Solanum lycopersicum: one gene and its partner. The protein of the gene in region 1 binds, or shares a complex with, the protein of each later gene. Links are inferred from orthologs where the notes say so. Each region holds a gene or a part of one and is shown in the gene's direction. Other genes may lie near its edges.

The links. The genes of interacting proteins can lie anywhere in the genome.
Region 2: the proteins of phosphoglucan phosphatase LSF1, chloroplastic (region 1) and BAM1 are in contact, whole or in part, in a cryo-EM structure (PDB 8J5D), measured with the Arabidopsis thaliana proteins. The link is inferred for Solanum lycopersicum from reciprocal best matches to the Arabidopsis thaliana genes LSF1 and BAM1. Residues at the interface, in NP_566139.1 of Arabidopsis thaliana: Met72, Asn73, Leu74, Glu76, Tyr77, Met78, Val79, Arg112, Ile113, Met115, Lys122, Leu131, Arg157, Phe266, Pro267, Glu270, Tyr271, Ala274, Leu275, Arg277, Ser278, Gly280; in NP_189034.1 of Arabidopsis thaliana: Glu208, Asp212, Thr235, Leu236, Pro237, Val238, Lys240, Gly241, Arg242, Thr243, Gln246, Asp250, Arg253, Tyr306, Ser309, Ser310, Lys312, Ala313, Glu316, Thr317, Tyr318, Trp362, Gln365, Met366, Asp369.

The regions. Positions count from the first base shown.
Region 1 is NC_090811.1:31,878,981-31,882,738, forward strand, and holds the start of phosphoglucan phosphatase LSF1, chloroplastic, read left to right. Parts: upstream 1-1,529; 5' UTR 1,530-1,684; coding exon 1,685-2,080; intron 2,081-2,304; coding exon 2,305-2,420; intron 2,421-2,517; coding exon 2,518-2,977; intron 2,978-3,188; coding exon 3,189-3,257; intron 3,258-3,758. UniProt on the Arabidopsis thaliana protein: Starch granule-associated phosphoglucan phosphatase involved in the control of starch accumulation. Participates in the regulation of the initial steps of starch degradation at the granule surface.
Region 2 is NC_090808.1:67,856,160-67,859,917, forward strand, and holds the start of BAM1 (beta-amylase), read left to right. Parts: upstream 1-1,503; 5' UTR 1,504-1,576; coding exon 1,577-2,190; intron 2,191-2,803; coding exon 2,804-3,014; intron 3,015-3,093; coding exon 3,094-3,204; intron 3,205-3,303; coding exon 3,304-3,758. UniProt on the Arabidopsis thaliana protein: Beta-amylase activity. Can use p-nitrophenyl maltopentaoside (PNPG5) as substrate only in reduced form. Can play a minor role in the starch degradation and maltose metabolism in chloroplasts during the night. More active on phosphorylated glucan.

The DNA.
Region 1 (3,758 bases):
CTTAAACAATAATTTTTTGTATATTGACATCTAACTAACAAAAAAATTGTATCTAAATTTGTGTTTTAAGCCACTACCTCATAATTATGATGTTCTTCAGATCCGTCAACTTCACGTGCATTTTCCTATGAATCAATGTTTACTGCTTTCCTCTTTCTTCCTCCTTGTACAATTTTAATGCCTCTAGCTTTAGCATTGTTAATAACTTCTTGAACTGCCGTAAGGTCATATTTTTTCTTTGATCTCAATTCTTCCATTGTTTGTTCATGTAGAACTTGTTTTGATTTTATCATAGGCCCTACATCAACCCCAAAATCTTGAGTTTAACCCATTGAAAACGATGATAAATTATCAACAAAATTGACATGCAATGAAATACCTCTAATAATCCTCATAGATGAAGATGATTCATTCATTCTGTGACTAATTTGAGATCTAATAAGAACAAACAATCGATTATTTCATCAAAAAATATGAAAAAACATAAGAAACACAATACATATACAATTGTTGAATAAGGAAAAAAAAGGAAAACGACTAAAATTTAGGAGTACCTACGAAAATTGAATTCAACTTCGGGAGGGAGTAATTGAATTTTGGACAATTTGAAATTCAAATCGGATAGAAGTATTAGTTGTAGGAGAAAAAGGTGGAATATGAATAGGAGAGATAATATTGTTTTATGTAAAATTATATACAAAATTAAAAAAAAAAGTTTTTATACTATTGGTTATATAATAGATGGTGAACCCCATTAATTATAGCAAAAAAAAAAATTATAATTATAAAAAGTAAATAAATTAAACTATACACCTATTATATAATTACTTAGGAATGTTTGTCATTCTATATAATTTTCCCTTTAAATGGAATTTTAGGGATACAAATTTGGATAATTGGATTAGGAAAGTTGGGCATGGACAGTTGGGCTGAGAATATTTTAAGTTGGGCTATTGGGCTGGCTGGGAGGGTAACAAATAACAAATATACACATATAATTTCGGTTTTTGGTTAATTGAAATATTAAATTTAAAAAACCAAAAATCAAACAGAAAAATTGAAATATTAAAATTCAAAACCAAAACAATCAAAATAACTAAAAAATCAAAACAGAAATTAAAAAAATTGATTCGATCAATTTTTTTGGTTTAAACCATATTATGCCCAGCTATTTTTAACTTAATTGCAGAAATTTGCTTGCAAAATGACTTGTAAATTGATTGCAAGCTATTTGTTTGATTGGACACTTGTTCACGAAGATGTAAGAATAATATGATAATGCATTTCTAACCAAAAACAAATTAATTAAACTTATTAACACAAATCCAAATAATACTATTCTCTGGCTAATTTTCTATTTTTTGAAAGTCAAATAATTTAATTTATTTGAAATGAACTTCATATATTTATAAATTGATATTATAAATCATAATAAAGATTTACATTGATATATTTGAATATGGTAATAAAAAAGGTGCGACGTAAATGGAATAGAGGAATTAAAATTGATAGATATTTGTAGATAGTGTGAAACAGAAAGTTGGTTGCACCCAAATAGAGAAGGTGAGGAGAGGCACGTGTCTTTGCGGGTAATGTGCGCAATGGCCTCTGCCTCTCAACTCTTAGCTCCAATCAACGCCATTTCTTCTTCTTCTTTTTCTTCAGTATATAATCATCTTCTTCCATGTCTCTAGAACTTACTCACATCTTTATGCACACAAATTATACTACTTCTTTCTACAATCAATCACATTGTTCTTTGAAAATGTGTTCACTACAACTTCCGAATTGCAGGGTTTTCAACGATGCTAACTTCTCTTCTTCTTCAGATAAGTTGCAGAAATGTGTGGTTTTCTCCTCATTTTGGGGAGTAGAGTTGTGCTTCAGTGATGCACGGCTTACAGCTAGCTCGGCAGTTAAACGACGACAATATCGGCCGATTTCTGCTATGTCTTCATCTTCTGATTCACCTTTCAACATGAATTTGAATGAGTATATGGTTACACTTGTAAAACCGCTGGGTATTCGCTTCGCTCTTTCTGTTGATGGCAAAGTGTTCGTTCATGCTCTTAAGAAAGGGGTTAGTATGTTTTCGCAATTAAAATCCTTACATTTGAATAGCTGTGATTTTACAATATGCAATTATCCGTTTCTACCGTCATACTTAAGCCCTTCACTGCAAGTTTATACAAACTGTTTTGTCTGTGTCATTGTACGCACCTGGATCTTGGTAGATTTTCGCATTTTCTATTGAAATTTGTTGTTATGAAGGAATCTCTTAGTTTGTGCAAGTGTTATTTGTAGGGGAATGCTGAGAAATCAAGAATAATAATGGTTGGTGATACATTGAAAAAGGCCAGTGACTCTTCAACTGGGGGGCTTATTGAGATCAATGACTTTGGCGATACAGAGTATGAAACGTAAAAATTATACCAATTTTAAGCTATAGAGTACATTTCCGACTGAAGTAGTGGGATGTTTCAATAAGTGTACTGTATTTTACTATGGTTTCTGCAGGAAGATGATGAATGAGAACGCAGGCCCTTGTAGCCTGGTTCTTGAGAGACCCTCTTTTCCATTTCCTATCCACCAGCTATATCTTATGGATGATATTGATATTCTGTATAATAGAGGTCGTGTTCCCATTGCTACATGGAACAAAAATTTACTTGCCTCCAACTTGCGAACGTCATGTGAGGGCAGTGGGAACTCTGGATTTGTAGTATTTTCCCCAAAGTTACTAACATTAAATGGATGGAATGTTCTGAGTAATGGAGATCCAATCAGGCAACAAGGAAATCTGAACGGTACCCCCTGGTTACCATTTAGCCCAATTATCAACATATTTTCTGAGAAAGACATGATAGATTCTGAATGGGCGCATGGGAATTTCCCACTGGAAGAATACATAAAGGCGTTGGATCGTTCAAAGGGAGAACTGTATTACAACCATGATCTTGGTATGCGCTACAACAAGGTGTGACATTCAGATTTTTCTGTGTAGAACCTTTCCTTTACTCAGATGATTAGTATTCAACTGCTTGAGATAAAGTTAACAGCTCCAGGAATTCTATGCTTTTCAATTTTGCTGAACACCATTTTAATCCACTGCTGTGGTATGTTTTATTCTCAAGAAGCTACTCTTCTGTTGCTTGGTTCTGAAGTACATTGCTTGTGTCCTTTGCCAGATTACTGAGCAAATGTATGTGGGATCGTGCATACAAAAGGAATCTGATGTGGAAATTCTGTCAGATGTGGTGAGGCTATACTTGCTTTTGTGGGTTAAATATACACTATTTTTCCCTTTCTATTTCATGAAGTATACAGTACAGATGTGGTGCAGCTATGCAATTGTGGCTTGAAATAATTTATTTTTCCCTTCCTATTTCATGAAGTATATACAACTGATATACTGAGAATCGTGTCTTGTACATCTCTAGATTTTCCAATCCATATAGAATTTTGGTTTGCACACCATCTGATAGAACTGAGAGTATCCTGACTATCTTTAACCAATCATAGTAGCAGGTCAAAGAGAAACAATGAGTGTATATATAACGAAAGTACATCAATGGTTTTATATGGTGAACTCAGCCTGCAAATGACCTGCAGTTGTGGTTCTCATGAATATGTATGGTTGTCCTACGTTTCAATTGCAGCATGAAGACAGTTTCTTGATGGAGGCCAAGAGCCAAGACCATATTTGACAAATATAAGCGAGTTTGATTATACAAATAGGGACACGGGTAGTTGATTCT
Region 2 (3,758 bases), on another chromosome or scaffold:
GCGCAATTATGCAAAGTTTGCTATAACATACAAATATGAATTTTTTGTTTGTTATATGTGAAAATTCAAAAATTAATACTCAGAACAAATTTTGAATTCAATATGATTATATTATAGTAATAGTAAAATAAAAGTGATAAATTGAAAATATTTCTAATGCATTTTATGATATTTCCTTTCTTTTTCCATAGTCAATATCAATTATTTTCGAGGACCACCAATAAATAATAAATAAATTAAAAAGTGTAAAATAATGTGATTAATATAACTGAAAGAAAAAATAGAAAAAAAAAAGAGAGATATATATGCCAAATTTTACGTGGCTCCTTTTAATAAATTCACCGTCCAAAAACCACCACGTGTCACATCAAAATTATCTTCTTTACTTTCTTCCAAAAATAATTTATATTTTACGTTTCGTGTACCTAAATGTAACCATAAAAAAAAAAAAAAAAAGGGACAAAATACTTCGTTTTCCATTTTCACCGGCACCTTATTCTTTATGCCACGTGTCCAATGACGAATAGTAAATTTTTTTAAAATAATAATGCCTAATTGAAGAAGAGATGACAATTAAATGAAAATATTATTATACTTTTATTTAGTCAATTAACACTATTGGAAAGTAACGTCGATAACAATAATAATATATTCAGTATTATATTATTGAGTTTTTTTTAAAAAAAATTTAGACTTTTATATCAAAGATATATGATGATTGATTAAAAAACAATAACAAATGGTTATTAAATATTATTATAATTAAATTATATAAATAAAATATAATAGAAGAGAAAAAAATAAGAGTAATATTAAGCCCCGGACAAAACAAGACAACAAGTCCATACACTCCCGAGTCTCATCTATTAACCTTTTAACATAGTTAATATCTTACACGCTTTACTATTTAGGTATACGTCTTTGATAAATTGTAATATTATCGTGTTTTGTTTAATTACTTCATAAATTACTATTTTTTCCGCCTAAGTACTCTACTTTTTTTGAATTCGTTCATAATCTAGACCTTTCATATCTCCATATCGATGCATTCGTGTATCTGCTCATCACATACTCCAGCCATCTCGATATTATTTTCCGTATCTTATTTTCCTCCGACTCTATGAAGTTAAAATCAAATCTTTCTGTTAACTTTCTCAATTTATTCGTGAATAATAATTCACGGACGTGAAGTAAGTAACTCTAAAACACCTTATCGCTCCATTACTCTTCCCATACTTGAGCTACATGAACCTTCACGCGTCTCCAAATATCCACCGTCCATTTCACGTGATCAAAAGCAATCTTAACCGTCGCCTCCGCCATCGCTCGTTCTTCGCCACGTGTAGTTACTTACACGTGTCATTAATTTAACGGTCCTATTTATCTTTATATATCTTATTATCTAGAGTTTCTATTTTTTATTTTTACTTGTATACTCTATAAATAATCCACAATTTCAACTCCTCCTTCTCCATTTTTCTCCATCAATTTGGTGAACAAAACAAAAAAAAAAATTAAAAAAATTCATCATTTTTAATCTGCAAAAAAAAAAATTAGTTATAATATTATTATTATTATGGCAATGAGTCTGCCACACCAGATCGGTGCCTTATCAGGAACATCGCTCACGGCGGAAACCGGTGGAGTTTCATGCGAAGTTCCGGCGAAGGGGAGTTCAGCTACATCAGCTATGTGGAGAACACCGATGACGAATTTAAAAGTATCGGTGCAAAAAACAGGAAATGAAATTGACAGGGTGTCGCCGTCGCCGTCGCCGCCGATGAGTCCGATGATGGGAGGAGGAATGCGACCGGATTTATCGGTAGCGTGTCAAGCGTTGATGGAGGCTCAGGTAGAGGAGGTAGTTGAGAGAGAATATAAGGTTAGGAATTCGTCGGAGAAAGAGAAAGGTGTTCCGGTGTTTGTTATGATGCCGTTGGATAGTGTGAAAACGGATCATACTGTGAATAGAAAAAAGGCGATGAATGCGAGTTTACAGGCGTTGAAAAGCGCCGGTGTGGAAGGGATTATGATGGATGTGTGGTGGGGATTGGTGGAGAGAGATGCACCGGGAGAGTATAATTGGGGCGGTTATGCTGAGCTTATGGAAATGGCGAAAAAACATGGACTCAAAGTTCAAGCTGTGATGTCTTTCCATCAATGCGGTGGTAACGTCGGTGATTCCTGCACGTATGTATATTTTCTCCGATGCTATTTTTAATTCGTTTTAACTGCAAATTTGTGATTACCAGATTCAAAATCTAGATCTGTTATAATGAATACCGTCAAATCAAACATGATATAACTCGCATCTCAAAAGCTAATTCGAGATATTTTCACATCGGATGTGGCCTGACTATCATAACATGTCAAATTAGTATTTTATCGTAGTTTAACCTCACAAAAAGCTAACTTAAAAGGGAGAAGCATTGCTCGAAACGAGTGGAGAGATATCATTCCTCGTCGAGGTGGTAAATCTCTTCAACAAATACTTTTAGATAAAAGATTCATAGGATCTGGAAAAGATTAAAGAAGAAAGTTCAAAAAAAGGTTAGTGGATAGTGAGAATATGCTCCTTTATATGTGTGCTAAATGAACTATTTAAAGTAACTATATTTTATCTGGAAAGATAAATGACTTTATAATAGATTGGAATCAACCTGAATAGCATAAAATGGAATATGGAAGATTCATGAATAATTCAATTATCTTTGTTTAATTTTCATTCGAGTTCTGTTATGCGTTTTGATTTCTACTAATCGCGATGTATAGGCGTTGCTTAAGTAGATTTTTGAAATTTCAGGATCCCTCTTCCGAGGTGGGTTGTTGAGGAGATGGAGAAGGATCCAGATCTTGCATACACAGATCAGTGGGGAAGGAGGAATTTTGAATATGTATCGCTTGGTTGCGATACACTTCCAGTTCTTAAAGGAAGGACTCCTGTTCAATGCTATTCTGATTTCATGAGAGGGTTTAGAGATAGATTTGAGAATCTCTTAGGTGATACCATTGTGGTAAGTGCTATGTTTTTTTCGAATTTTTGATCGAAGAGTAGAAGACTCACTTTTTTAATCCAAATGACGTGTGATATAGGAAATTCAAGTCGGGATGGGTCCAGCTGGTGAGCTCCGTTATCCATCCTATCCCGAAAAAGATGGAATATGGAAGTTCCCTGGAATCGGTGCTTTTCAGTGTTATGATAAGGTATAAAGCAAGTTCTGTTTTCTATGGTGTGTTTTAGTGTTTAACGTCGTCATTATTACTGATGATTTGTTCTGTTAAATGTATTGTATCGCGTTGCAGTACATGATCGGTAGCTTACAGGGTGCAGCGGAAGCATTTGGTAAGCCTGAATGGGGACACACCGGTCCAACCGATGCTGGTGAGTACAACAATTGGCCAGAAGATACAAACTTTTTCAAGAAGGAAGGTGGTGGATGGGATAGTCAATACGGGGAGTTCTTCCTCACTTGGTATTCTCAAATGCTTTTGAACCATGGCGAGAGGATACTGCAATCATCCAAGGCGATATTCGAGGACAAAGGTGTGAAGATTTCAGTTAAGATTGCAGGTATCCACTGGCACTATGGAACAAGGTCCCATGCCCCTGAGTTGACTGCTGGATACTACAACACTCGTAACCGAGATGGTTACCTTCCCATCGCCCAAATGCTTGCCCGCCACGGTGCAGTTTTCAACTTCACATGTGTTGAAATGCGTGACCACGAGCAGCCACAAGATGCACAATGTGCACCTGA